Xenopus tropicalis: one gene and its partners. The protein of the gene in region 1 interacts with the protein of each later gene in a biochemical or structural test. Links are inferred from orthologs where the notes say so. Each region holds a gene or a part of one and is shown in the gene's direction. Other genes may lie near its edges.

The links. The genes of interacting proteins can lie anywhere in the genome.
Region 2: the proteins of ywhaz (region 1) and cdc25b form a complex in vitro, tested with the Homo sapiens proteins (2 studies listed by BioGRID and IntAct). The link is inferred for Xenopus tropicalis from reciprocal best matches to the Homo sapiens genes YWHAZ and CDC25B.
Region 3: the proteins of ywhaz (region 1) and gsk3b form a complex in vitro, tested with the Homo sapiens proteins (2 studies listed by BioGRID). The link is inferred for Xenopus tropicalis from reciprocal best matches to the Homo sapiens genes YWHAZ and GSK3B.
Region 4: the proteins of ywhaz (region 1) and bad form a complex in vitro, tested with the Homo sapiens proteins (3 studies listed by BioGRID). The link is inferred for Xenopus tropicalis from reciprocal best matches to the Homo sapiens genes YWHAZ and BAD.

What each region holds. Positions count from the first base shown.
Region 1 is NC_030682.2:130,812,094-130,819,335, reverse strand, and holds part of ywhaz (14-3-3 protein zeta), read left to right. Parts: intron 1-3,540; coding exon 3,541-3,664; intron 3,665-5,107; coding exon 5,108-5,271; intron 5,272-5,357; coding exon 5,358-5,453; intron 5,454-6,909; coding exon 6,910-6,969; 3' UTR 6,970-7,242.
Region 2 is NC_030677.2:15,565,042-15,572,892, reverse strand, and holds part of cdc25b (M-phase inducer phosphatase 2), read left to right. Parts: intron 1-4,069; coding exon 4,070-4,111; intron 4,112-4,596; coding exon 4,597-4,633; intron 4,634-4,840; coding exon 4,841-4,951; intron 4,952-5,373; coding exon 5,374-5,490; intron 5,491-5,591; coding exon 5,592-5,735; intron 5,736-5,860; coding exon 5,861-5,932; intron 5,933-6,068; coding exon 6,069-6,251; intron 6,252-6,694; coding exon 6,695-6,790; intron 6,791-7,127; coding exon 7,128-7,190; intron 7,191-7,381; coding exon 7,382-7,480; intron 7,481-7,602; coding exon 7,603-7,736; intron 7,737-7,851. UniProt on the Homo sapiens protein: Tyrosine protein phosphatase which functions as a dosage-dependent inducer of mitotic progression. Directly dephosphorylates CDK1 and stimulates its kinase activity.
Region 3 is NC_030678.2:1,891,934-1,899,784, forward strand, and holds part of gsk3b (glycogen synthase kinase-3 beta), read left to right. Parts: intron 1-1,853; coding exon 1,854-1,964; intron 1,965-2,190; coding exon 2,191-2,321; intron 2,322-3,474; coding exon 3,475-3,581; intron 3,582-3,867; coding exon 3,868-3,965; intron 3,966-7,851. UniProt on the Homo sapiens protein: Constitutively active protein kinase that acts as a negative regulator in the hormonal control of glucose homeostasis, Wnt signaling and regulation of transcription factors and microtubules, by phosphorylating and inactivating glycogen synthase (GYS1 or GYS2), EIF2B, CTNNB1/beta-catenin, APC, AXIN1, DPYSL2/CRMP2, JUN, NFATC1/NFATC, MAPT/TAU and MACF1.
Region 4 is NC_030680.2:35,251,108-35,258,958, forward strand, and holds part of bad (bcl2-associated agonist of cell death), read left to right. Parts: intron 1-1,503; coding exon 1,504-1,654; intron 1,655-1,928; coding exon 1,929-2,101; intron 2,102-4,232; coding exon 4,233-4,364; 3' UTR 4,365-4,401; intron 4,402-5,898; 3' UTR 5,899-7,851. UniProt on the Homo sapiens protein: Promotes cell death. Successfully competes for the binding to Bcl-X(L), Bcl-2 and Bcl-W, thereby affecting the level of heterodimerization of these proteins with BAX. Can reverse the death repressor activity of Bcl-X(L), but not that of Bcl-2.

The sequences.
Region 1 (7,242 bases):
AATGGTAGCACAGCAAAAACCCAAATGGTTGGGGCTGGCAGAGTATGGCACACACAGACAGCATAGGGCAGGCAGAGTATGGCACACACAGACAGCATAGGGCAGGCAGAGTATGGCACACACAGGCAGGGTAGGGCAGGCAGAGTATGGCACACACAGGCAGCATAGGGCAGGCAGAGTATGGCACACACAGACAGCATAGGGCAGGCAGAGTATGGCACACACAGGCAGGGTAGGGCAGGCAGAGTATGGCACACACAGGCAGGGTAGGGCAGGCAGAGTATGGCACACACAGGCAGGGTAGGGCAGGCAGAGTATGGCACACACAGGCAGGGTAGGGCAGGCAGAGTATGGCACACACACACACACAGGCAGGGTAGGGCAGGCAGAGTATGGTACACACACACACACACAGGCAGGGTAGGGCAGGCAGAGTATGGCACACACAGGCAGGGTAGGGCAGGCAGAGTATGGCGCACACACACACAGGCAGGGTAGGGCAGGCAGAGTATGGCACACACACACACAGGCAGGGTAGGGCAGGCAGAGTATGGCACACACATACACACAGGCAGGGTAGGGCACACACACATACACACAGGCAGGGTAGGGCACACACACATACACACAGGCAGGGTAGGGCACACACACATACACACAGGCAGGGTAGGGCACACACACACATACACACAGGCAGGGTAGGGCACACACACACATACACACAGGCAGGGTAGGGCACACACACACATACACACAGGCAGGGTAGGGCACACACACACATACACACAGGCAGGGTAGGGCACACACACACATACACACAGGCAGGGTAGGGCACACACACACATACACACAGGCAGGGTAGGGCACACACACACATACACACAGGCAGGGTAGGGCACACACACACATACACACAGGCAGGGTAGGGCACACACACACATACACACAGGCAGGGTAGGGCACACACACACATACACACAGGCAGGGTAGGGCGCACACACATACACACAGGCAGGGTAGGGCGGGCAGAGTATGGCGCACACACACAGGCAGGGTAGGGCGGGTAGAGTATGGCGCACACACACAGGCAGGGTAGGGCGGGTAGAGTATGGCACACACAGGCAGGGTAGGGCGGGTAGAGTATGGCACACACAGGCAGGGTAGGGCGGGTAGAGTATGGCACACACAGGCAGCATAAGGTGGGTGGGGGTGGATATAAATTATAGCGGTCTTTCTGTAGCAAATGCATGACCTTTAGTGCACGGCAACAGTACATTATATTTTAGGGCCGTGGCAGACAGGGAGATAAGTCGTCCGCAACAAATCTCGCTTGTTGTGGGCGACTAATCTCCCCGAAATGCCATCCCACCAGCTAGAATGTAAATCGCCGGTGGGATGGCATACGCGGCGCCAAAATCGCCAAAGTTTCCTCTCACGCCAATTCCGGCGATTTCGGCTAATCTCCCCGTCTGTCACTGCCCTAAAGCTCTTGTTGAGCAATGGGGTTATAATGCCCCCCAGTAAGTGTCTGTGAGACAAAACGTGATTGGGAATCTGTTTTTATATAGCGATTTTCTCCTGTGGGACTTATTGCCAAGCACTCATGATAGGCGCACTAAGTATGCTGGTAGGCTAGGAGTGTGACTAGTCCAGGGTCACAAAGTGTTGCCACAGGGCATTGAATCAAGGCATAAGGTCCCACATCCAAACATATTGGAATGGGAAGCTATTCAGCAACATTTTGGGAGCCGCCACTATCCAAAGACTCTTGTAATACAGCCCTTTAAGGGCTTGTTCACGTTTCAATTAACTTTTAGTATGTCGTAAAGAGCGCTATTCCGACACAATTTGCCAAATACTAAGAATTGCTGTGAAATTGCCTCTTGGCCGGGGAACCTGATGACTGCCCATGCTAAGGGCAATTAGGCTTTTAGGAGAAACCAGAATGTCATCTGGCCCATACAGTACCCATCTAATGACCTAGTAAAAAGTGATCTGAAAATACTCCTTAATCAGATTAGGACATGAGGTTGGTGTGACGCACATCTTTACGCCACTCGTTGGGAAAGTGTGTGAAATTCCAACAGCTTGCTGAACTTGCCGGGAGCGCCACATGCCTCCTGTAAATTCCCTGTCTCTCTCGTGTGTTCTGTGCTTTGATCTCAGCCGGAGCATAACGGGCTCATGTTGTCAGTGTTAATACACAAGGCCACCTATTCCCGGCTACTTTGCCCTATGCAGGATTTGTAAAAAGACAGTACCCCTCACATCCAGTCTCCTTGTCTAAACATTCATCTGTCCTGTGGGCATCTGCTAAATGCTATTGTTTGGGTCTGGCTGGGGCGTACCACTTTCTCTTGTGCGCCTGGGGCAGTGCAGCTGCACTTGGTATGCACCAGTACTCACAAGCTGTTGGCTTTAATGCCAAACTGCTCCCTTTCTTTCCAATCATGCAGTACCTTAGATAGGGGCCATTTATAATAGAAATGTCCTGCCGTAGGATCACTTCCGGGTTACATGGCGAATGGCAAAAAGCGGGTCATTTGTGTGCCCAGCTGGACCTGTGCAGTCCTGCACGAGCTGTCATCCAAAGAGATGTTGGGGGGGGGTATGTTGTATGTAGGAATTGGTACAATAGACGTGCATAATTCCTGTCAAAATTCCAGCATTTTGCCCTTTTAATTCTTAAGTTTTTTGTTTTTTTTTTTGGTCCGTTATGTTCAAGTAGCGCCATTGTTCTGAAGGTACAATAAAAACTTAAAACTTGTTACTGTCCCTTAAAGTAACAGTATATCCCCTTCAGCACAGTAGACAAATAATGTTTAGCATAGTGATCCTCAACCTTTCTTACTCGTGAGCCACAGTCAAATGTAAAAAGACTTGGGGAGCAACACAAGCACCATAAAAGTTCATGGAGGTGCCAAATAAGGGCTAAGATTGGCTATTAGGGGCCTCTATGCACACTATCCGCTTACAGGGGCTTTATTTGGTAGGAAATCTTGTTTTTATTCAACCAAAACTTGCCCCCAAGTGAGGAATTCAAAAATAACTCCCTGGTTTGGGGGCACTGAGAGCAACATCCAAGGGGTTGGGGAGCAACATGTTGCCCCTGAGCCACTGGTTGGGGGTCACTGGTTTAGCACAAGCCCTATTCATTGAAGTGGGAAGTATACTGCCTCTTTAAAAAAAAAAGGGGGGGGGAAGGGAGATCTGAATTTAGCCATAAAGCATATTACTGTACTGCATTAAAAGATGACTTAAAATTATTGCATGTTTAAGGAATATTGGAAAGTTGCTTAGAATTGCCCTTTTTTTTTTTTTTTAATTGCAAGTTTTTGGGACTATTTACCCTTTAGTGAAAGTTTATGTTGAATGTAATTATCTAATTATTGTTTTCTCTCTGTTCTGTGGTTCCTTCCCTTTGTGTTGCTGGGCTATTGGAATTGCTGGCATCTGCCAATGTACCTGACGCACAGATTTTGAATGTGTATTTCCCATATCACTGTATTTGAACCTGCATTTTTTTTTTGTCTTTTGCAGAATCTTCTGGACAAATTCTTGATTGCCAACGCATCACAACCGGAAAGCAAAGTTTTCTATTTGAAAATGAAGGGTGACTATTATCGTTACTTGGCTGAAGTAGCTTCTGGCGACGCAAAGGCAGGTGGGTGTTGTTGCGCGTAGACTGCATCCTTAGGAGCTTATCCTTCAGCTCAGGCACTACTCAAGCACCAGCCTTGGAGGGGGCATGGTTCTCTAATGGTGCTATGAAAATGGTGAAGCATCACCCAGTAACTCAGTAGATGTTTGAGAGGTTGTACAGCCACAAAATTTCCATTTCTTAGTTTCCAGCCAGTCAGGTACAATCAAACTAAATGTCTGAGGTTTAACTAGGGCAAAGCTCCTTCCAAATGCTGAGTAACCATATTCTAATCATGTGCACCTGATGGGATACACCTGTGTGTTGTTTCAGCCATTTTAAGTGGGTCTAAATGGGGGTGTCCTGATTTATTCTTCACCAGAAATGGCACTTTGTAGAATTACATTTTACAGAAGTATTTTCTTCAATTTTAATTGTTTAGTTATATTACTTGAATCTCCCTGTTTTGTTGAAATTGAGATTAAATATCCATATGTTCAAGAATGTTACAAGAACACACAGGGTTTCATAGTTTCATATTTCCTAATTTTTTTCACATGAGTACCTATAGGCCAGGTTGAGCATTTTCCGCTGATACGGCTGCTTTTGTAAGTAGTTGTTACTTAAAGCCAACCTGACTGTCCTGACATGTTATTTTAGCTTTATCTATTGGGTCCCAAACTCTGGGACTTGGAACAGGAGGGGACTTTTTACTACAAAGGCCTCCAAGATACGCCAGAAAGCCCAGCATGAAATTGTTAGGGTGAGATTTGGGGTGAAAACATTATTGTTGTCCTAAATGTTCTTGGGAAAATGGCTAATACACAGATATTTTGCTATTCCTTGTTAAGAGGGGCCATGACCTAACCCTTGTAACAAAAGGGACATAAACTGAAAGTCTGACAAAAACTGCCCTAGTTTACAAAAGAACCACAACACAGTTAGTGTTTAGAATGCATTTTGCCTATTTTTTTTTTACCATTTATAAAGCACTATTTTTTTCACTGTTTTTTCACTGCCATGTTTATAATGGTAGAGGGGGGAGATTCAGAGATTATCTGCCTCTGAACAAATAAACCCCTTCCTTTCCTGAGCTTCTCCAGCCTTTGAGCAGCTCATTATCAGAGGGCTTCAGTGCCCTGGTAATTAGTGTGATCAGCTTCTCCTGCCCACAACAGAACCAGGAAGTGCTAAAGTAAAAGTGTGCATTTTCTTTGGTGCCAGAAACGGAACCATAGATATTTGTCCATAAGACCAATTGCCAAAAATCTGCCCTATTTATCCAGCTTGTGTTTTCTGAATGCACCGTTGCTGGGGTGGAATGTGGTTTTGGAATTTCAGAGCATGAAAAGTGTAAATCTCTAATGTAACACAGATTCTTTAGTCTTTCAGTTGGTGCCCACTTTACATTTAATGGAATATAAGCAGAATGTACATGCAATCTAACATGTGACTCTGTGTTGCTAGATATCGTGGCCCAGTCACAGAAGGCATATCAAGATGCTTTTGACATCAGCAAAACTGAAATGCAACCAACACATCCTATCCGATTGGGTCTGGCCCTGAACTTCTCTGTGTTCTATTATGAGATCCTCAATTGTCCAGAGAAAGCGTGTTCTCTTGCAAAGGCCGTAAGTGTTTTGTCTCGCTCTGCCGGCGCATTACCAGGCACCAGCAGCAGTTATCCGCAATAACCTCTGCTTTTCTGCCATTTTAGGCTTTTGATGAAGCCATTGCTGAGCTTGACACTTTGAGCGAAGAGTCCTACAAAGACAGCACATTAATAATGCAGTTACTGAGAGACAACTTAACAGTAAGTCAATGAGGCTTTGCTTTCATCAAAGCATCCTGATTTGCACATATTATTATTATTATTATTATTATTATTAACTATACCCCCGATGGGCTGTGTGCTCCCTCAGAGATCAGCTGACAGGAAATAATGCAACTCTAACTGTAACAGGAAGTAGTGTGGGAGCAAAAGGCAGAAATCTGTCCATTCATTGGCTTATGTGTGCCCTTGGTGTGTTTGTGTGCATCATGAGTCGTATGGCCCTTGGTACTTAAAATGGCAATTTTCCAGGAAGTAGTGTGGGAGAACTCTGCCCATTCATTGGCTGATGGGGCCTAGCATGTATGTGTGCCTTAGCTTGTTTGTGTGCACTGTGAATCCTCTGATCCCAGGAGGCGGCCCTTAATTCTTAAAATGGTTTTCTATTTAGGATTACCCAGTGGCACATACTACTAAAAAGTATACTTTTATGGAAATGGCTTTTTTAGATAAATGAGCTGTTCGGGGTACACTTTTTTCTAAGTGTATTTTTTAAGAGAAGTGCCAGCCCAGGGTAGCGGGATAGTGACTACATTCTGTGGGTGAGGGAATAATTAGCACCCAATTCCTGTGCCAGCCCAGGGTAGCGGGATAGTGACTACATTCTGTGGGTGAGGGAATAACAAATTAGCACCCAATTCCTGTGCCAGCCCAGGGTAGCGGGATAGTGACTACATTCTGTGGGTGAGGGAATAACAAATTAGCACCCAATTCCTGTGCCAGCCCAGGGTAGCGGGATAGTGACTATATTCTGTGGGTGAGGGAATAACAAATTAGCACCCAATTCCTGTGCCAGCCCAGGGTAGCGGGATAGTGACTACATTCTGTGGGTGAGGGAATAACATTAGCGCCCAATTCCTGTGCCAGCCCAGGGTAGCGGGATAGTGACTATATTCTGTGGGTGAGGGACTAACAAATTAGCGCCCAATTCCTGTGCCAGCCCAGGGTAGCGGGATAGTGACTACATTCTGTGGGTGAGGGAATAATTAGCGCCCAATTCCTGTGCCAGCCCAGGGTAGCGGGATAGTGACTACATTCTGTGGGTGAGGGAATAATTAGCGCCCAATTCCTGTGCCAGCCCAGGGTAGCGGGATAGTGACTACATTCTGTGGGTGAGGGAATAACAAATTAGCACCCAATTCCTGTGCCAGCCCAGGGTAGCGGGATAGTGACTACATTCTGTGGGTGAGGGAATAACAAATTAGCACCCCTATCCCGCTAATTCTACCTTTTTGTACCTTGTACCTTTTATACCTCGTATTGTGAATGTATACCCGTGGGAAGGAGCACCCACTTATATGCAGCTCCCATGGCTTTACTGATGCTTGTGGGGGTGATTAAGTATAATTAGAGATTGGCATCAGGTTATTGTAAAGGATAACAAAGCAAAGAGAAACATTTTGTAATTATTAATTTTTTTAATCTTATTTTATTGTAGTTGTGGACATCAGACACCCAAGGGGATGAAGCTGAACAAGGAGAAGGAGGGGAGAATTAATCAGCCTTCCTTTTTGTCTGCCTCATAAAATTTACACAATAGACCATTCGTCATCCTTACTGTCCCACAAATAGGTTTTGTTTTTTTTTTTTTTAATTTTATTTTTTGTTTTTGTTTTGTTTACAATTACGGTTTATGTTACTTCTCTTTGGACTTCTATATTTCCCATGTGGCTTTTGTGTTTAATAATAGGGAATAGAGCCAGTTAATATTTGGGGGAGATATATATATTTTTTTTTTCTCTCTTAAGGTGGCCAATCTAGGGATGTTGAA
Region 2 (7,851 bases), on another chromosome or scaffold:
GGTGTATAGGGACCTTTAGGGCAAAAGCCCATAATGGAGACAATTTAGCACTGGCAACGTATAGTAAAATCCTTATCAGTTCTAATAGGGGGTTGGGGGGCATTGGCACAGAGACACGCAGACAGTTGCTAAGTGTCACTTGTTACCCGTGCAGTCTGTGCTGGTATGTGCAACAGCAGCTGCTTCTAAGCCAACAGCTGCCGTCCTTTTAACTCCTTGAACAACTGCAGGGTGTATGGGGCCCCCGGCTCGGGCTCCTTCACAGCCCTCTTTTGTTTTAAAGTCCCCATCCAACTGGCAGGGCTCCCAGAGAGAAATATGATTCCTTCATTCAGGGGACGCAAACTCATGTTACTGATCCACAAAGCCTGCAGTGTAGGGAGGGGACAGGCCGGGGTATTGGGGTTTTTTGCATCTGATGGGAGGGCTCTGGAATTCAAATGTACATTCCTAGCCGGGAACTGTGCGGATTTAACCCTGTCACTCGCGCTTGAGAGGAAAAAAGGAGAATAACAGAAGCGTACAAGGCATTGTGGGCCCTAGAGATTTAGCCTCATACATTGTTCCTTTAGTCGGGCAAACAGAGTAGAGAAATAGACAGATACTTCTCTCAGCTGGAATTGCAGTTCCAAATAAAACCATGGGCACTTTTATAATGAACAAATATAGGGAAGCTGCTTGGGGAGGTGTTTGGATTTGGTCCGTTAAAGATGTAGTGACAATGTCCCCTTTAATATCATATGGGAAACAGACAAGTACTGGGTGTTCTGTGGGTTTAAAGTGCGTAGTCAGCTCTCTGGTTGGCCCGTGTGGTTTGACATTAAAGAGGCGAGGGCAGGAAGATGTCTGTTGTGAGGAGCGGCTGAAGATGAAGGGGGTGTACAGTATGTGCACCCAATTTTAAGAGAGTGTATCTTATATATTATTTTTCTGTATATATATATATATATATATATAGTGAATAAAGTGCCCCCTATTGTAACATATAGGGATATTATAAGTCACCGAGGAGTTCCTTATAATATATAGTGAATAAAGTGCCCCCTATTGCAACATATAGGGATATTATAAGCCCCCGAGGAGTTCCTTATAATATATAGCAAATAAAGTACCCCCTATTGTAACATATAGGGATATTATAAGCCCCCGAGGAGTTCCTTATAATATATAGCAAATAAAGTACCCCCTATTGTAACATATAGGGATATTAGAAGTCACCGAGGAGTTCCTTATAATATATAGTGAATAAAGTGCCCCCTATTGTAACATATAGGGATATTATAAGCCCCCGAGGAGTTCCTTATAATATATAGCAAATAAAGTACCCCCTATTGTAACATATAGGGATATTATAAGTCCCCGAGGAGTTCCTTATAATATATAGCAAATAAAGTACCCCCTATTGTAACATATAGGGATATTATAAGCCCTCGAGGAGTTCCTTATAATATATAGTGAATAAAGTACCCCCTATTGTAACATATAGGGATATTATAAGCCCCCGAGGAGTTCCTTATAATATATAGCAAATAAAGTACCCCCTATTGTAACATATAGGGATATTAGAAGTCACCGAGGAGTTCCTTATAATATATAGTGAATAAAGTGCCCCCTATTGTAACATATAGGGATATTAGAAGTCCCCGAGGAGTTCCTTATAATATATAGTGAATAAAGTGCCCCCTATTGTAACATATAGGGATATTATAAGTCCCCGAGGAGTTCCATGTCCATATAAAGGTAGAAGGCTGAGGTCATTTATACAGGTCATGGAACTCCGAGGTAACTTCTAATATCCTCATATATTACAAAGGGGGTACTTTATTATAATATACACGGTTTGGTGAGTCATGTGACAGAAATTATATTACCGAGCTCCCATCATAACTGATGACATCACTTTTAATCGTTTATAAGGATATAATTAGTATATAGTATAGTATAAACAGTTATGCCCCCCTCCAGGGTAACCAATGCTTCCTGCTCTCCAACTGCCCCATTAGTCGCATCCTGTTTGTGTTTATAGTGAAACCAGCAGTGAAGGGAAGTCGACCTGATCATATGGTACAGAGTCACATCCTGAGACTGTTTGTGGTGGATCTTTGTTGTTTTTAAAGGAACAGTAACACCAAAAAATGAAAGTGTATAAAAGTAACTAAAATATAATGTGCTGCTGCCCTGCACTGGTAAAAGTTGTGTGTTTACTTCAGAAAGTCTACTATAATTTATATAAATAAGCTGCTATGTAGCCATGGAGGCAGCCATTCAAAGGAGAAAAGGCACAGGCACATAGCAGATAACAGATAAAACACTATTGTATTCTACAGAACTTATCTGTTATCTGCTATGTAACCTGTGCCTTTTCTCCTTTGAATGGCTGCCTCCATGGCTACACAGCAGCTTATTATATAAATTATAGTAGTGTTACTGTAGCAAACACACCAGTTTTACCAGTGCAGGGCAACAGGGCATTATATTTTTATTACTTAAAAGCTGTTTCATTTTTTGGTGTTACTGATCCTTTAATTATGAGGCAGGATAGTTACTATTTTAGCATTATCGGTATCTGTAATTACTATGGAAAGCAGTGTTGGTCCTTTCTTTTGCCTACACTGCTGCTACTGACACCTGAATAATATAGCTGTGAATAAGACTTTAGTGCTACATTGTGGCAAGAGTCAGAACCGCCAGTGCAGGAAGGGACACATCCATACTGTTTAACACACATAGCAGATCCTGTGAGTTAAAAAGAAGCAGAAATGTCTCTTATCTTGATTTATGGTTTTATTGGAGGCGACAGTTGGTCGGCAGGTGAGGCTGGGGCAGATACATATCGAGTGTTTGACAATTCTCTGTCCTTTGGCAAATATCAGAGCATCTGTGCAGTATGATATGCACCTCCCTCCCCCAGACTGTCCAAACCCTTGTATTAGGTATTTGTTCACCAGTGAATGAGGGTATTATGGCTGGGCAGCCAGTTCAGCACCTGTCCTGACTCAAGTGATGGGGCAGATGGGGTCAAACTCTGGGCTGGAATAGCAAAGGACATTTGGCCCCAGATTCCTTTACCTATGCCCCCCTGTAGTGTGGGTGGCACAGGGCAACCTGCCCAAATAGATAAGGCTTAATGAAAATGAAATGGCATTGATTAGTTTCAAGGGGAAGTTAACATTGCTAAGATTGCTCATGTCTATGAATTTACTGAATGTAAAAGGGTGGGGGGGGGGGTCTATTGAAGGATTTTAGCAGTTATAGTTAAAAAGAATTAGGCACTGAAGTCTCTTACCCCCCATGGGCTTGCACTTCTCTTGTATAGGGGGGGCAAGGTGGAGGAGTGTATTTTATGGGGGTTATTTGTCTCCCCACAGACAGTTATTGTCCCAATAGAAAAGCCCTGCACTGCAGGCCCCCCCACCCCAGCGGAGAAGGGGCTATGAATGGGTTGGAGGAGGTGCCTGTATTTAAGGTGGCTGAATGCAATCTGCCCAAGACACAAAGCCCGGCTAAAGTATAATCTGCCCTTTCTTGCAGAATGCTTGAGTTAATTGGGGCTGCACGGAGCCTCCATCTGCCAGTCCTTGGTGTGGGGGGGCTTGCAGCACGTGCTTAGTGGGGTCGGCCTGCTGCCTAGTGCATGAATGGGCTGAATAGAGGCTTTGATATGCCACACTTGTCCCTTCCCGATCCCCCTACCCCCCCCCCAGGCAGGGGGGCCGAGCCTGATGCTTTCCTTGGGACATATGGCTTGGGTGCAGAGCCAAACAAAGCCGCACATTTACATACAGGTGGGGAGCGGTGACCCTTAAACCCCTGCTATAGAAAAGGCCGGGGCACATTAAACCCATTTACAGCCCCTGTATCAGGGCGGGGGGGGGCAAGCGAGGGGGCTTTTGTGCATTTATTCTGCTTTCTTTTATTTATCATTTGCATGCACAGACAAAATAGGTCAGGGGGGCGCTGTTCCTGGATGTAAATGAGGGTAATTATCAGGGCGAAGGGACCCCAGATCAATACCGGGCGAGACTCATTTATACCCATTTTCACTCGTTCTCTCTCTTTTTTTTTCCAGGTTTGAAAAGGTTATTTTTGAATCAAGAATCCCCCCCAACGAGTAAGTATAGGGACAGTGTAGGCGACGTTTATTGGTGTATTTTATATAGCAGCTTCTCCCATAGCAACATCAAAGGCCTCTGCGGGCAGCAGTGCTGTAAACGTTAAAGGGCACTTAATTAAAAGACAAATTTAGCCAATGTATTTTTTCCCCTGTCGTACATCCTGCTGCACATTGTTTTCAAGGATAAGTAAACACTTTTAATCCCGACGTGTGCCGTTAGGGCCGTTCCCCGATGCAGAGAGAATGCGCAGCTCTCTAAACGCCGCTGATACCAAATGTTTATTTAAAGGCGTGTTTGGGTGTTTCTGCTGCTTACAAGATAATACCCCTCCCTACAGCTAAATAAAGCTTTTATTGGACCATTAATAACATTATTGCTTAGCGAATAAGGCCCACATTCTGCAGTGCCAATAGGGTGATTCCATTATTGGGGTTCAGACATAGAATTATTCTAACCCGTCTCCTTTTTTCTTAATTTCCAGTATCAAGCTCCCAATCAGAAGAATCCACTCCTTGCCGGTAAGTTAATTTCCGCCTTTTTTTAGCAAACCATTTACTGGGCGGGGCTAGGGGATCATCATGGCAGCTCCTGCATACTTAGGAATACCTTAATAGTCTATATAAAGGATAACGCTATGCTTACTGGGGGGGGGAGGGGGTATCTGATTGCATATAGGCATAAAAGCTGGTCACAGTATATGAAATGATCAGGTATCTTGTACACAGGAGACTCTCCAGGGGGGCAGCCCCGCTCTCAGAAGACTCTCCCACCCGTTGGACTTGGATCTGCCCAAACCCCTCGAGAAGATCCCAGCGGAGAAAGACAATAAGGAGAATGTAAGTCTCACCTGTTGCACAGACAGGAAGTGCAGATTGTGCCTGTTTGATGATGGAGAAGGAATGCCTTGCCCTTTAACCCATGCCTGACCTTTATAAGCCTGGGGGAGGGGTATTTAAAAAAACATAACTTACATTTTTGTTGTGAATGTGGTCAGTCAAAGCCTATGGTCCTATACATGTGGCTCTAAACCTATAACAGTCAAAGGGCCCCTATATAAATATCCCAAGGTTCCATACATTATTATTATTATTAACATTTATTTATAAAGCGCCAACATATAGTGGGTTACATACATTGCACATACAGAGTAACATATAAAGGTGAAGAGAGCCCTGCCCAAAAGAGCTTACAATCTACAATTTCAAGATGGATCGTTGCTAGGCATCTAAACATTAACCCTGTATGTTTCTGTCCACAGGAATTACTTCTCTTTAAGAAGCCGCGCCCATTCCTCCGCACCAGGCTACGCACCTTCGATGGCTGCAGCGACAGAGAGGCTTTTTCCGAAAGGCCAAACTCCGCCCCCACTCTCATGGTAGGTACTTTTCCTTGTGTCGTGACCGCGATCCAGCCAGCTTCTTCCGCTGTTAGATTTGCCGGATCTGATCGATAACGCGATCCTTTCTCCACCCTTAGTTTTTCAGCCCTGACAAGATCAACTCTGAAATGGAAAACGAGAGTCCCATCCGTTTACGCAAATCCTCCCTGACCTTCTCTCTGTGCAATGACGATGACGACGATGACGGATTCATGGAAATTATGGATGATGAAGAGATAAAGGTACAAAATGAAGGGGACATATACCCACCCATATCAGTTTATGTCAGTTAGCTTAGGGTGCTCTTCTGAGCACTTTTGCACTTAACTATATTTTTTTTTAACACTTTGTGTCCCCCCCTTTGCAGACTGATATTCCCTCTGGAATGCGGAATCTGCTGACTGCCCCATTCGTCAACAAAGAAGACAAGAGTGACCCGGTAAGTATGTCAGCCCTCTCTATCCGTCAGCCGTCTCTCTCCATACTTAGTGGATCTATTTGTCCGTCAGTTTTTGGCTGTGAAGGAACGAGTTCCCTTGCTCCTATTTAGGAACTGTGTTTCCATCTTCCCCCAGGATCTGATTATTAAAAGCAAATGCCGCCGGCTGTTCCGATCACCCTCCATGCCTAGTAGCATCATCAGGCCCATACTCAAACGATTGGACAGACCAGAGGATGGTGAGACCCCTGTGAAGTCAAAGAGGTTGAAGAACTTGCCGCAGTCACATTCGGAAGAATGGCCGGAGAACGAGGAACCGGTATGTAGAACCTTTGAGTTCTTTCTTTCACTCGGGGCACATCCCTGGCCAATAGAATATTAAATAGGTCTTCAGCTGCCTTTGACCATCTTGGCCTTAGCCTTCAGGTGTCTCCCTTTGTTTCCATGAAGAGTGATATCTGTCCAGTAGTTGCTGTAGGTTGGGGGCAGAGACATAGTAACATAGTAAGTTAGGTTGATAAAAGACGAAGGTCCATCACGTTCAACCATAATGCCTGTATATAACCTGCCTAACTGCTAGTTGATTCAGAGGAAGGCAAAAAAGACATATCAGGCCTTAGAGGTTTAGACTATATTGTTGGCCAGAATTTGGGGGTATAGCAGCTATGTCCATGTCTTCTGCTATAGCGACCGGTAATAGAATGTCAAATACTGGCCATTTTCCCTCTTTCCTTAATATTTATCATTCATCCTTCAATGTAGAAAATGAAGTTGGGAAGGTCCAAGTCTGTGTGCCTCGCTACCGTGGAAAAGATACTGGACAACGATGAGAGAGAGCTCATTGGTGATTCCTCAAAGGTGAGAAGCAGCAAATTACCCTTTTACCCATCACCTTTATATTATATTATCCTCAGCCAGAGCTGTCCAACTGGGTGAAGGGGAGGTGAGGGGGTGTGGCCATTCCCAACAGATTTTTTTGACCCCCCCAGCATGCCCAAGAACTTCATAGACATGTATGTATGATATCATTGGTTTAACCGAATCCAGCCCATGTGGAATAACTGATTATTGTCAGCCCTGCGTTTCCAAGGGAAAATATAGATGCAATGGATAGACCTTTAGGTGCGAGCCGAGGGTATTAGTAATGATTCAGAAGTTTATGCACCAAATTGACATCATTTCTCTTATTTTCCAGGCGTATTTACTGAAAACAGTGGAAGGGAAACACCAAGATCTGAAATACATCACTCCTGAAATGGTATGTTGTCTCCAAGATCTGATCATAGAACTTATACAGTGGGGAGGTAGGGTTCAATTTGAAAACCATACACCGTGTCTAATAACTCATAGCAACCAATCAGCAGGCAGTATTTGTGTCAGAAGTATCTGATTGGTTGCTGTCATTTTTATGACATCATTACATGACTTTATTCTGTTTTGTTCTTTCAGATGGACTGTGTGCTGAGTGGGAAGTATAAGGACACGATTGAGCGCTGTGTGATTATCGACTGCAGATACCCCTATGAATACGAGGGTGGGCACATCAAGGTGAGAGCTCTTAGCCCTTTTTTTTTCCTATCCAAACAGAACCCAGGTGGGTGCTGCCATAAAGCACTTGGGACATTTTACAGCAGTAACTGAAACTTTTGTTTCTTGCCCTATTTTCTCAGGGAGCCATAAACCTGCCCCTGGAACAGGACGTAGAAGCCTATTTGCTGAAGGAGCCCATAGTACCGCAGAGCCCAGACAAGCGAGTGATCATTATCTTCCACTGCGAGTTCTCCTCAGAGAGGGGCCCCAGGATGTAAGTTACTTTTATCTAGCTTAAACACTATATGATTATAGCTGTGATTCTGACTGCAGTTTCTGCCATAAAGCAATGCAGCTCTGTTATGCTCAATAGGATACTGAGACTGCCT
Region 3 (7,851 bases), on another chromosome or scaffold:
AGCCCCCATTACTCAGCTCCCCCCGTCTTTGTAATGTGATGTAACCCTGAGAGCCCCCATTACTCAGCGCCCCCCGTCTTTGTAATGTGATGTAACCCTGAGAGCCCGGCCCCCATTACTCAGCGCCCCCCGTCTTTGTAATGTGATGTAACCCTGAGAGCCCCCATTACTCAGCTCCCCCCGTCTTTGTAATGTGATGTAACCCTGAGAGCCCCCATTACTCAGGGCCCCCCGTCTTTGTAATGTGATGTAACCCTGAGAGCCCGGCCCCCATTACTCAGCTCCCCCCGTCTTTGTAATGTGATGTAACCCTGAGAGCCCCCATTACTCAGCGCCCCCCGTCTTTGTAATGTGATGTAACCCTGAGAGCCCCCATTACTCGGTGCCCCCCGTCTTTGTAATGTGATGTAACCCTGAGAGCCCCCATTACTCAGCGCCCCCCCGTCTTTGTAATGTGATGTAACCCTGAGAGTCCCCATTACTCAGCGCCCCACCGTCTTTGTAATGTGATGTAACCCTGAGAGCCCCCATTACTCAGGGCCCCCCCGTCTTTGTAATGTGATGTAACCCTGAGAGCCCCCATTACTCAGCTCCCCCCGTCTTTGTAATGTGATGTAACCCTGAGAGTCCCCATTACTCAGCGCCCCCCCGTCTTTGTAATGTGATGTAACCCTGAGAGCCCCCATTACTCAGGGCCCCCCCGTCTTTGTAATGTGATGTAACCCTGAGAGCCCCCATTACTCAGGGCCCCCCCGTCTTTGTAATGTGATGTAACCCTGAGAGCCCCCATTACTCAGGGCCCCCCGTCTTTGTAATGTGATGTAACCCTGAGAGTCCCCATTACTCAGCGCCCCCCCGTCTTTGTAATGTGATGTAACCCTGAGAGCCCCCATTACTCGGTGCCCCCCGTCTTTGTAATGTGATGTAACCCTGAGAGCCCCCATTACTCAGCGGCCCCCCTCTTTGTAATGTGATGTAACCCTGAGAGCCCCCATTACTCAGCTCCCCCCGTCTTTGTAATGTGATGTAACCCTGAGAGCCCCCCATTACTCAGCGCCCCCCGTCTTTGTAATGTGATGTAACCCTGGGAGCCCCCATTACTCAGCTCCCCCCGTCTTTGTAATGTGATGTAACCCTGAGAGCCCCCATTACTCAGCTCCCCCCGTCTTTGTAATGTGATGTAACCCTGAGAGCCCCCATTACTCAGCGGCCCCCCTCTTTGTAATGTGATGTAACCCTGAGAGCCCCCATTACTCAGCTCCCCCCGTCTTTGTAATGTGATGTAACCCTGAGAGCCCCCCATTACTCAGCGCCCCCCGTCTTTGTAATGTGATGTAACCCTGAGAGCCCCCATTACTCAGCTCCCCCCGTCTTTGTAATGTGATGTAACCCTGAGAGCCCCCATTACTCAGCTCCCCCTGTCTTTGTAATGTGATGTAACCCTGAGAGCCCCCATTACTCAGCTCCCCCCGTCTTTGTAATGTGATGTAACCCTGAGAGCCCCCATTACTCAGCGGCCCCCCTCTTTGTAATGTGATGTAACCCTGAGAGCCCCCATTACTCAGCTCCCCCCGTCTTTGTAATGTGATGTAACCCTGAGAGCCCCCATTACTCAGGGCCCCCCGTCTTTGTAATGTGATGTAACCCTGAGAGCCCAGACCCCATTACTCAGTGCCCCCCGTCTTTGTAATGTGATGTAACCCTGAGAGCCCCCATTACTCAGGGCCCCCCGTCTTTGTAATGTGATGTAACCCTGAGAGCCCCCATTACTCAGGGCCCCCCGTCTTTGTAATGTGATGTAACCCTGAGAGCCCAGACCCCATTACTCAGTGCCCCCCCTCTTTCCTTTGCAGAAGGACGAAGTGTACCTCAACTTGGTGCTGGACTACGTTCCCGAAACTGTGTACAGAGTGGCCAGACATTACAGCCGGGCTAAGCAGGCGCTCCCCATGATCTATGTCAAGGTAAGTACCCCCACTAAGCTGCATGGCCATTGGTCTGTGTGTGGGGGAGATATAGCTGGGCAAACTGGGGAGCCAAAAGGGTTAATGGGCTGGCATGCCAGGCTGTGTTGTATATAGGGATCATTGGGCAACAAGGTGCTACCCAGGCCTGTGGGTTCCTGTATGCCCCTGAGCCTGCACCTCGGTACCCAGGGGCCACTCACCCCTCTCTGTTCTTGCCCGGCAGTTGTACATGTACCAGCTGTTCCGCAGTTTAGCCTACATCCATTCCTTTGGGATCTGCCACCGGGATATCAAACCACAGAACCTTCTGCTGGACCCAGAAACTGCTGTACTCAAGCTGTGTGACTTTGGCAGGTAAGTGCTGCCCCTTCATCTTGTTGCCCCTGGCATTGTTGCCACTTACCCCTGCCAGTACCAGGAGCCCTACTTACCCAGCTGGGTATCATATAATGGTTATCCACCTACCCCTGCCAGTACCAGGAGCCCTACTTACCCAGCTGGGTATCATATAATGGTTACCCACCTACCCCTGCCAGTACCAGGAGCCCTGCTTACCCAGCTGGGTATCATATAATGGTTATCCACCTACCCCTGCCAGTACCAGGGGCCCTACTTACCCAGCTGGGTATCATATAATGGTTACCCACCTACCCCTGCCAGTACCAGGGGCCCTACTTACCCAGCTGGGTATCGTATAATGGTTACCCACCTACCCCTGCCAGTACCAGGAGTCCTACTTACCCGGCTGGGTATCGTATAATGGTTACCCACCTACCCCTGCCAGTACCAGGAGTCCTACTTACCCGGCTGGGTATCGTATAATGGTTACCCACCTACCCCTACCAGTACCAGGGGCCCTACTTACCCGGCTGGGTATCATATAATGGTTACCTCCTACCCCTGCCAGTACCAGGGGCCCTACTTACCCGGCTGGGTATCATATAATGGTTACCCACCTACCCCTGCCAGTACCAGGGGCCCTACTTACCCAGCTGGGTATCATATAATGGTTACCCACCTACCCCTGCCACTACCAGGGGCCCTATTACCCGGCTGGGTATCATGTAATGGTTACCCACCTACCCCTGGGCCCTACTTACCCGGACACGCCTGACGTGCCAGTGAATTCCCCCAGCTAATTGTGTCTCGGGGATAATGAGATCACTTCCCTGTGTGGGCAGATCGTTGGCACAGAGTAGGCGGGCAGTGCTACGATTAGCAGCGCTCTATGTATAACCCCCCTTTGCCATTAACCCTCGGCTGTCAGTAGCCGTGTAACCGCTGTACTGCTGCGGCCTTACCTGCCCCCCGTGCAACTGATTTGCTGTTTATAGGAAGGGACTGGGGTAAATGTGCTTCATGGTGCCCGGTGCCCACACTGTACATGGGGTTCAGCTGTACCCCGCTCCCGGCTACACGCAGACTCTCGCTATAAGTGTTAATTCCAGAGGGGGCGCTGCCTGTACAGTCTGTTGTTCCGCTCTGATATCCCTTGTGTCTGTTTCAGTGCCAAGCAGCTGGTACGCGGAGAGCCCAACGTGTCCTACATCTGCTCCCGGTACTACAGGGCCCCAGAGTTGATCTTTGGAGCCACCGATTACACTTCCAGTATTGGTACGTTCAGCCCTTTGCTCTTTCGTGGCTTAGAAATGTTACCGTGTGTTATTCTGCATTGTGCCACTAGGGGGAGCATGCAGCGACCACTATAGGGGAATCCTCTAAACACTTTGGATAACGGCAGTGCTGCAAAGATTACGGATATTACCAAGACCTGCCCTAGAACTCTCCTGTAACCATAGCAACCCTTGCTTTTGCTTTATTGTATGGCTTACATTTACCATAGACTCACACACTGGTACCAGTCATTGCCTGATATTTGCTCCTTCTCTCCCCCCCCCAGACGTGTGGTCAGCAGGCTGCGTATTGGCCGAGCTGCTGCTGGGTCAGCCCATCTTCCCTGGGGACAGCGGCGTGGATCAGCTGGTTGAGATAATCAAGGTAAGAGAGCAGGTTGGAAGGTTGGTTATACTGTCAGTATGTTATAGAATGGATTATTCTTAGCAACTTTTCAATTGGTCTTCATTTTTTATTTGTTGTAGTTTTTGAGGTATTTGCCTTCCTATTCTGACTCTTTGCAGCTCTCAAATGGGGGTCACTGACCCCGGCAGCCAAACCCTATTGCTCTGTGAGGCTCCAGTTTTATTGTTATTATTACTTTTTATTCCTTATCTTTCTATTCAGCCCCTCCCCTATTCATATTCCCGTCTCTCTCTCAAACCACTGCCTGGTTGCTAGGTTAAATTGGACCCTAGCAATAGTTACTATTCAGCTGTGCTGCCAGTTAAAGGGGTAGTTCACCTTTACATCAACTTTTAGTAGACAAAGACATTGATAATCTGAGAGAAATTGCAATTGGTCTTTGTTTTTTAAATTTTTTTATTGTTTCAGATTTTTTTTTAGCTTTTTGTGTTCTCTGTTTGGTATTATAGCAACTATGTGGTTGCTAGGGTCTTTTTTACCCTAGCAGCCAGGCAGTGGTTTAAATGAGAGATGGGAATATGAATAGGGGAGGGGCTTTACAGGAAGATAAGGAATAAAAAGTAACAGTAAAACTGGAGCCTCACAGAGCAATAGGGTTTGGCTGCCGGGGTCAGTGACCCCCATTTGAAAGCTGCAAAGAGTCGGAAGAAGAAGGCAAACAATTAAAAAACAATGAAAAATAAATAATGAAGACCAATTGAAAAGTTGCTTAGAATGAATAAATTGTAGGGGCTTTATAAAGTCTAATATATAGTGAATAACACACCCCCTGTTGTATAATATAAGGATATTACAAGTCACAGAAGGGTTCCACGGCCATATAGAGCGCTATTACACTGGTCATGGAACTCCCAGGGGACTTCTAAAATCTTCCTATGGTACAAAGTTACATTATTATAATGCACCCCCTGTTGTGTAATATAAGGATATTACTAGTCACAGAAGGGTTCCACGGCCATATAGAGCGCTATTACACTGGTCATGGAACTCCCAGGGGGCTTCTAATATCTTCCTATGGTACAAAGTTACATTATTATAATGCACCCCCTGTTGTATAATATAAGGATATTACTAGTCACAGAAGGGTTCCACGGCCATATAGAGCGCTATTACACTGGTCATGGAACCCCCAGGGGGCTTCTAATATCTTCCTATGGTACAAAGTTACATTATTATAATGCACCCCCTGTTGTATAATATAAGGATATTACTAGTCACAGAAGGGTTCCACGGCCATATAGAGCGCTATTACACTGGTCATGGAACTCCCAGGGGGCTTCTAATATCTTCCTATGGTACAAAGTTACATTATTATAATGCACCCCCTGTTGTATAATATAAGGATATTACTAGTCACAGAAGGGTTCCACGGCCATATAAAGCGCTATTACACTGGTCATGGAACCCCCAGGGGGCTTCTAATATCTTCCTATGGTACAAAGTTACATTATTATAATGCACAAGTGAGTCACGTGACACTTCTAGCCAATGACGTTGCCGAGCAGCGATTATAAGGATATGATTTGTGTATAATACAGTAATAATCTCCCGCTTCTGCCCATAAACACAAATATATTTGCGCATTAGAACTTGTTTTGCTCGGGGCAGAGCGGCACTAATCCCGTCGCTGCAGGTAAATGGAATATTAAAGCTGATTATCTACCAACCAGGCGTGGGTTATATAAAGGCAGCCCCAGTGCACTCTGGGTACAGTTCCGCAGCACGTTAACCAGCTGGGTGTTAGTCTGTCACTGACCTGTCCGGGTAGGTTAATGGGGGATAATCCTGCCCCCCTTTATTATAAGCAGTAGCCAATGTGACTGCTGCTCACTAGTACCCTTAATGCCCTCTAAATGCCCCACGTCTGTAGCTCGGGGGGGCGGGGGCAGGGCTCTGGTTTGTACTTGCCCCTCCGCACTGTGTCATGCAGGAAACCGGGGAGATTTGCAGATTCCAGAACAAGCAGAATCCTGCACAGCGACACCTGAGACTTCCCATAACCCCCCAGGGCTGCTGATACCACCCATCTGTGGCCCCCAGGCCTGGCAGCGTGCAAGCAAGGATATGTACATGTCAGCCGGGGGGGGGGGGGGGCATTTCCTCCCAGTGTAGGGAAAAGGGTGAACTTACTAATAGTATCTCTCTGTACAGGCTATGAGCAAACCTAGGGGGCTGTTCCTGCTGAATTGTGCTTAGTACAGGGGAATCCCTATGTGCCATAGTTTTATGGTATCTCTCTGTACAGGCTATGAGCAAACTTAGGGGGCTGTTCCTGCTGAATTGTGCTTAGTACAGGGGAATCCCTATGTGCCATAGTTTTATGGTATCTCTCTGTACAGGCTATGGGCAAACTTAGGGGGCTGTTCCTGCTGAATTGTGCTTAGTACAGGGGAATCCCTATGTGCCATAGTTTTATGGTATCTCTCTGTACAGGCTATGAGCAAACTTAGGGGGCTGTTCCTGCTGAATTGTGCTTAGTACAGGGGGAATCCCTATGTGCCATAGTTTTATGGTATCTCTCTGTACAGGCTATGAGCAAACTTAGGGGGCTGTTCCTGCTGAATTGTGCTTAGTACAGGGGAATCCCTATGTGCCATAGTTTTATGGTATCTCTCTGTACAGGCTATGAGCAAACTTAGGGGGCTGTTCCTGCTGAATTGTGCTTAGTACAGGGGAATGCTAATTAACTAATTATTTGTGTGACAGTGTCGCCTCCCTTCGAGGCCGTTGGCACCCAGGAAATCTTAACTCTGCTCATTCTGCTGCTTTCTAATATGTCACCTCCGTGCCATGGCGTCGGCGCTATATTTAGCTTCCATTGATGCCCTTCAGCTTCTCCGCCAGGGGTGAGGGGAGCATCACAAGTGCTAGTGACGTAACCCCTGGGAATATGGGTAGGGGGTGCCATAGTGTTTCCCTTAGACAGTACAGTATGGGGGTACAGCTTATTGTGTGCCCAGAACATTCCTTCTCTGTATATTTGTATTTATACATATGGGTAGGAGGTGCCATAGTGATTCCCATAGACAGTACAGTATGGGGGTACAGCTTATTGTGTGCCCAGAACATTCCTTCTCTGTATATTTGTATTTATACATATGGGTAGGAGGTGCCATAGTGATTCCCATAGACAGTACAGTATGGGGGTACAGCTTATTGTGTGCCCAGAACATTCCTTCTCTGTATATTTGTATTTATACATATGGGTAGGAGGTGCCATAGTGATTCCCATAGACAGTACAGTATGGGGGTACAGCTTATTGTGTGCCCAGAACATTCCTTCTCTGTATATTTGTATTTATACATATGGGTAGGGGGTGCCATAGTGTTTCCCTTAGACAGTACAGTATGGGGGTACAGCTTATTGTGTGCCCAGAACATTCCTTCTCTGTATATTTGTATTTATACATATGGGTAGGAGGTGCCATAGTGATTCCCATAGACAGTACAGTATGGGGGTACAGCTTATTGTGTGCCCAGAACATTCCTTCTCTGTATATTTGTATTTATACATATGGGTAGGAGGTGCCATAGTGATTCCCATAGACAGTACAGTATGGGGGTACAGCTTATTGTGTGCCCAGAACATTCCTTCTCTGTATATTTGTATTTATACATATGGGTAGGAGGTGCCATAGTGATTCCCATAGACAGTACAGTATGGGGGTACAGCTTATTGTGTGCCCAGAACATTCCTTCTCTGTATATTTGTATTTATACATATGGGTAGGGGGTGCCATAGTGTTTCCCTTAGACAGTACAGTATGGGGGTACAGCTTATTGTGTGCCCAGAACATTCCTTCTCTGTATATTTGTATTTATACATATGGGTAGGGGGTGCCAT
Region 4 (7,851 bases), on another chromosome or scaffold:
TAACCTTGTCAGTAAGGTATTATGCTATCTGACCACTTCCGCCTATATCACTGTGTAACCAAAGTGTCAGTGTCTGGTTTGACCTTCTCAGTTCAGCCAATCATACCTGATGCCTGCTAGTATGGATGTCACCTTTAAATTCACCTTTAGTTTTGTGTAGACAGTGGTATTTTGAGGCAATTTACAACTAATATTCACAATTTTCAGTTCCTTTTTTAATCATTTAGCTTTTTGTTTGTTGGACTAAACACTAAAAAGGTGGCCATACATCCTTTAGACAGAATCGGAAGCTTATTTGCCCATGTATTAGCATGAACGACGGGCCAGATCTCGATCGGGCAGATTTGATTTTTCTGTTAGATCGGGGACCACATTGGCTTGTTAATGTGGTCCACGAACCTAAGGCGCCTATTCCCACTGTTTTAATTCCATTGTTTGGCTCTAGGGCCAAACAACTGAATTAGCCCGATATCACCCACCCCATAGGTGGGCATATCAGGAGAAGATCCACTCTCTTGGCAATCTCTCCCAAACACTGTAGCACAGTGCAACAAGTGAGTGTATTCACTAAACAAAAGGTGTGGTGATTGGTCATTGTACTTCCTACTTTAATATGAAGCTTTTTTTTATATAGGTATAATTTTATTAACAACAGACAGACATTTATGCCAAACATTTGCAGAATACATTAGTTTTAGTTGGTTGGCCAGTGATACAACCATACTATGTGCAAATAGAGATATGCATATCACTTTGGTTATAGTACATGTTATGTAGGTTCAGTCCAGTCCTGCTTCAATCCACGGGGTCCAAATCAGGTCAAATTTAGTCTGTGTTCCTCTCGCTTCTGAGGTAAGATTAATTAGTGGGATTGCCTGGTTTACCAGTTGTTTCCATGATTTTATGGTCAGTAGATGTGGTCCCATCCAGTGCATGGCAATATGAAGCTTTTTAATGCTTAATTTATTAAATATAATTTTGTATGCTAGAAAAAAAGAGCTACTTTCTGTATTCTTTTTAATCCAGATTCATCCTCCAAAAAAATCAATGTTCCTTCCCAAATATTTTACAATCATTGTCATCAGTCTGAAAAATGATTTCATTTTTTAGGTTCTTGTAGTCCTATATCTCATTACAGAAGTGAATAACGCAAGCATTCACAAAATCATAGGCTGTCCTTGAAGAAAAAGAAGCCAATAAACTATATATAGTTTCCCTAGGTAAATTAAACACCCTCATAAAAAGTTCCCACTGAATTTAAAAGCGCAAATGAGGCATTGGAATTAAAAAAAGCCTTAACTTCTGCCACATTTAGTAACCCGTAGCAGCCAGTAGAAGCTACCTTGCTTGCTATGGGTTACTAGACAAATATCAAACACTGTGACAGGACTGATGCTGTTACATTTTAAATGAGACATGTGGAAACAGCTTAGGTTTATCAAAATAGAAATTAGCAGTATATATGTATGTATAACTCCCTGAAATTATTCTGTTCTTTTTTAGATGGCAGATTCATCCCCTTCAGCAGTTTTCAAGTTAGAGGAATTCGATAATGAGGAACAGGGATTACCTTTGCCTTTTGTGGATCCCCCTCGTGGGGCAGGCGTTCGACAACCTGTAGCTAAGAGTTCTCCCAGCCTGCGAAGATACCCAGGTGATCTTCTGCCAAGAAAATATGTATTTCATCTTTCTTCATAAGCATTATGCCATCTGTAATATTGAAATCTGACTTGCTATAAGATAAAATATATAGGCAGGCAGTGACTTCTGGAAAGTATGTTGTAAATGTCTTAGTGATAAATAAAGGGTAATAATAACAGTGCTGCTAGCAGCCGTTTTAAACTAGTAAGTGAATTATAGCATATACTGAAATAGTTGTACCCCTGTAAACAACAAAAGCATAATTAATAATACTACCTCTATCACAGGGAAGGAGTCACGTTTACGCACTGAGTCTGCTTCAGAGTCCAGTGAGACAGACAAAGTGGGCGAGCTCCATCCTTTCCGTTCCCGTTCCCGTTCTGCTCCGTCTTCAATGATCGCTACAAAATATGGACGGGAGTTAAGAAGAATGAGTGATGAATTTGAAAAAAGCTTCACGGTAACAATTTAACTGTCACAATTATATTTATCATTTAATACTTCAGAAAGGGAGTATCTCTGTTCCTAATAGTTTTTCCAATGCAACAAAATGAGTGGTACTTTCTTTGGTTTATGGCTTCCAGCTTCCTGGATTTTTTTTTTTTTAACTTACAACTCACAAACACCTCACTTTGTGCTTTTAAAGTTGGTGGAAGAAACACTTCTGCCCCTCTCTGCTCTGTACCTGTGCACATTTACCAAAATGTAATCCTCAGTGCTCACACTGAACAAATCTTAGCCAGAAAACAGTTGTGTGTATTTTGTGGCCAAGATCCACTCTGTGTACACACTGACAGGTGGATACCACTCCTGTCTATGTGCACAGATATGAAGCAGAAAAAAAACATATTTACTTTTGCAGACAAAATGCAATGTATGCCACAGGCCCGTAGAAACACAAATATCTAGTTAATTATATTCTTAGAAACAGTGCTTGGTAATGTCCTGTGGGAGGAAGGTGTACCCATTTGGCCCAGGGTGTGGCAGATTTATATTCTCTAAAAGGGTAGAAATGCCAAGGTTCATTCTCTTTAGAATCCACCTTTAGGTGGAGTGCATGTAGCTCCAGTTAAGGCACACTCCAAAGGTGTGAGATAGACAGTGTTATCTAGAATGAGCAGTGCTGTGCTCCAACAAGGAGATTGTAGTGTTGGGGTAGTTCCTAGATGAACACACTAGACTATAGGGACTCAAGGGTGTAGGACCCAGGGATAGTGAGTAAAACCCCTTTGAGGTGCTTTATGAGATACAGGAATGATGATGGGCAGACACCTATATCAGAAATAATAACCATGTAGAACTGTGAAATGTGATGTGAGCATCTGCTATGAATAATCTGTCATGCAAAAGAACCATTTTTCTTTTGTGTTAACCTATTCTAAAATACTGTTCCAGATTAAGAACCACTGGTTCCCAAGAGAATTATAGTTCAGAACTGAGACCCTTTCTCCATTTATCTGGGAGGGCCAAGTTACAAGAGTTACATGTAGCAGTTCAGTATCCTATAGAGCAGCTAGAAAGTAGCACTCGTATGTCTTTAGCGATGTAGGTAAATAAAAACATTGTCATACTTATCATCCCACCATACTTTCAGCATTATCTAGTACAGAAAAAAAAGGATTCAACCCAAATCTTGTCCTAGTTGACGTTCAGACTGAATATACTATCCACTGCCTGGAAAAAGTGGCCAGCTGCACAATTTAGAAGGTTCTAAATACCGTATATACTCAAGTATAAGCCAACCCGAATATAAGCCGAGGTACCTAATTTTACCTAAGAAAACTGGAAAAACTTATTGACTCGAGTATAAGCCTAGGGTGGGAAATGCAGCAGCTTCTGCTAAGTTTTAAAATAAATACCAATAAAATTACATTAATTGAGGCATCAGTGGGGTATATGTTTTTCAATATTTATTTCAAAGAAAAACAGTAAACTAGCTCTGTAAGTGGAGAAGAGGGTCAACAAAAACAATATGAGTACTACCCCACGCTCATTGCACATTGGCAAACTGGCAGCAGACCCGGTCCCGGAGGAGATGTAAGGGGGAATAAGTATTGCTAGTGGGAGCCTAGACCAGGGCACTGGAGGGTCTGGTTGCAGGTGGCCTAATTTGCACACAAAGGACAGAGGGTGCTAGTCTGGAGGGACCCATGGCACCCGACTCGAGTATAAGCCGAGGGGGACTTTTTCAGCACATTTTGGGTGCTGAAAAACTAGGCTTATACTCGAGTATATACAGTAATTGTTATTTAACAAGACTGTACATATACACTTTATTGAACATTTTACTAACATTGAAGACAAACATCACTGGTGATGTTGCCCAGAGCAACCAAGAAGATTTTTGTTTTTGTTTTAACTTATAGGTAACCGTTCAAATCTAATTACTGATTGGTTGGTACGGGCAACATCACCTCTTTAAGTAAATGTTAACAATGGATACTATGTAATTTATTATTTTGCATGAGAAAAACAGTGTTTTAGAAAATAAAAAAAAACGCTTGAGTTATATATCTAGAAATAAGCACTTATAAGAAGCACTTATGCATTTGAGGGCAAATGATTATTCTTTCTGTTATTTCCACCCTTAGGGCCTTCCTCGTCCAAAGAGTGCAAGTGCAGCGGGTCAGATGACTGGGAACAGAAGCATTCGAGACTTAATCATGGGCTTGTTCTCAAGACGGAAAAGTAAAGGAAGGGATGAGTCTGGGGATGAGGAGTGATTCTGTTCTTTAATAGGAACCGCCCACTATGTGAAATGTAAGGCTAATATAATTTCTCTTTGTTACTTATCACCAAATTAATGTGGGTGGAGCAATTTTTTGTCAGGTTAAAGAACAACTCAGTCCTGTGGCAGATCTGTGTGATAGAAAGGCCGGAACTAGAGGTAGGCAGAAGTGACATGTGCCTAAGTGGCAACAGTAAGGGTGCGATGAGCACATACCTCTCTTGCTTGCAGGTTTGGGCTTTTGAGCCTGCCACACCAAAACTCCCCGCTAGCCAATGTGCTCCCTGCAGTGGGATTCAGTGCAGGAGAGCAGGCAGGCAGTCTCCAAGCTCACACTGAGGGGGATCCATGGTAATATGGGGGCGATCAAGGGCGGGGAGCTTTAGATTGTAAGCTGTAGCAAGTATTGCCATGTGATCCTTTTTTTTTTTTTTTTGAGTAACCCTTGTTTGTTAAATATTACTGTAACACCACTGATCATTATAAATTAAAGGAGAACTAAAGCCTAATGAAGTAGGGCAGAAATGTTGTACATAATGTTTTGGGCTTCTGTACCAGCCCAAGCAGCTATAGCCCTTTAGCAGGGAAGATCTGTGCCTCCAAAGTTGCCCTCAGTAGCTCCCCATCTTCTTCTCTGCTGATTCACTCCACATGCTCTGTGCTGCTGTCAGTTACTGAGCTCAGAGACCAATGTATAATATACTGTATATATAGAATATAAATGCCATAATTTAAGGCTGATATGTAATTAATACAGATAATTACTACATGGCAACTCTGAAGCCAGAGCAATTAGTTTCAGAAATAATCACCTCTATAGCATTGCCATCTATGCCATACAAATGTAATTTTCTGCTTGATAATTTGCTATGACCCCTAAGCTTAGCTTCTCAACAGCTGCACAGAGCATGTGGCACAGACCTTTCTAACAGTTTCCAGTATGGTGACCCCCTGTGATAACTTTGAAGGCCATTGGTTCTATAGAGATGATGTACCTTTATACTGGTTCAGTAAGTTCAGTATATAAAATATTGCATTTCTACTTAATATAAATAAATGATGATGGGGATAAGCCTTGGGTGCTCTCTGTTTTAGGCCTAGCACTGGTGACAGAGGGTCATGCACCTGCAGTAACTGGTTAGCTCTGATAAAAAAACACTTAAAGGTATTACCTGGCACAATGCTTGGTAAAGAAGGATGAAAAAAATGCTGAGCTGTTTAATTAGTGGAATTGGCATGATTTTCCAGACTGGCAATCTGTGGATTTTGGCAAATGCCAGAGGGGCTGCTCTAAGATGCCATAGACAGTCACTGTTTTTGGGCCTGTGTGTACTTGAAATGCCAAGGCCCATTGAGAATCTCAGTCCAGACCTGAACGATTCCTGTTTCATATGAAAGTGTCAGTATTATTTTATAATAATGTAACCAAACATAGCTATTTCATTTAGGCCCAAAATAAGAGAAACTGTATTTCTGCATATGTGATCATCTCCCTGGCTTGCTAATGGTTTATTTTCATGTATATACAGATTTGCAAAGATCACCACAGATCCACTGGACTGTGTACTCACTTGTGTTTTGGCAAATTTGAATGGAAATGCAAATTGCTGCATACAAAGATGCCAGCGGGACAAAGATGCAGGTGTTTGGGCTGCACAAACCATCAGCGAATTGTCGTGTACAAAGCTGCTGAGGAAAATAAATAGTGGGTGATTTCGGAAGACATGAGGGTGTCACCTTCATGGTGGAAAAATAAAATTTAAAAATGGATTGTTAAGTGTTAAATATGAGCCGAGAACATGAGTGCCATGCTGTGAAAATAACCTTTTTTTCTTATTTATCTACAAACAAATGAAAATGATTGTTTTACCTCTGATTATTACTACAATATCAACTTTAATGATTAAAGCAGGAAAACTCTCTAATCTGCTTTATAGACAAGGGTTTACATTCTGTTATCATTATAGTAATACTTTATATGCAATGGCTGCTCCATTTATCCTGTTTATTCAAAAACGTTTCCATACATGAAGCACTTTGGGAAATGAGATATTTTATAGTGTACTAACAACGCACAGCACAAAAAGTTTTCTGTTGTAAAATAGTAATATAGAATTTATTCATTCAATCTTAATTGGCATAGTGTTGTACTCAGGGTTTACCAATTCCAGTGATTTCCTATCCCAACTGGAGGACTGTGGGATGGATATGGCTCTTCAAGGGGTTTTATGCCCCCAGTCTGCTCAAAAGCTTCGTAGACTTCACTATGTGACATAATCAGGCCCTTGAACACAATGATGATGAGAAATAATTGGCCCACTACATGTAATAAGTTGGACTGCACTGTCCTATCTTATTGCATAGGTTTTCATACATTATCATTGTGGCAATATGCTTTTACTTTTGTTATACACATCACAATCTACCACAGCAGATAAATTGATATTGAAAAAATAGAGAAATACAGTACGGGTATGGAAACCTGATATCCAGAAAGCTCCAAACCAGGGAAAGGCTATATCTCCCTTATTTTAATCAAATAATTCAAAATTTTCAAAATGATTTTCTTTTTCTCTGTAATAATAAAACAGTACCTTTTACTTGATCCCAAGATCAAGATATAATGAATCTTAACTGGAAGTAAAAATTCTATTGGGCTCTTTTAAGTCTTAATTATTTTTTAGTAGACTTAATTAAAAAAATGAAGACCAATTGCAAACCGCTCAGAATATCACCCTCTACATCATACTAAAAGTTAATTCAAAGGTGAACAGCCCCTTTAATCCAGATTACAGAAAGACCCTTTATTTGGAGAACCCAAGTCCCAAGCAATCTTGATAACAGGTACATATTGTTATAATTAAATGGATAAAACCCATTGCCAATATCATATATTTATAAATCTGAATAATGGTTAATGTAATGGTCTGTTTGTGGGCAATACTGTCTTTTTGCAGTCTGCTGGTCACCAGCTCAGGAGCTCTAGGTAAAGCAAAATGTTTTTAAGGCACAATGACACAAGACACAATGATATATAGTTAACAATTCCTTGGCCTAGTACTGAAATTGTTGCACCATGCTTTGCTATCATTAATGATTTACACTGGGTTCTCCTATAACAGATTGTTGGTTTAAATGGGGATCCAATCCACAACTGTGCTTTCAACCCTGTTGTTGCTACATTGCAACTCTTGGCTATTACATTGTAAAAGATTGAACCAAGTTGGGAGCTGTAGTCTTGCAACATCAAGGATGGGTTTTTAAAACAATGATCAGTGTTTTTAGCAGCTCTTTTCCCTCCTGTTACAATCCTGCCTACAGGCTATACAGGTTCTTGTTCTTTCTAGCACATAATTCATAACAGCACTGTTTCCTTAGATTGTAACATTGGCAAACAAGAATTATGCAGTTGTCTACGTTTGATATCAGCAAGATGCCTCCTGTAGCGCTGGTAGCTAGGATTTTCATCAGCAGATCCTGTT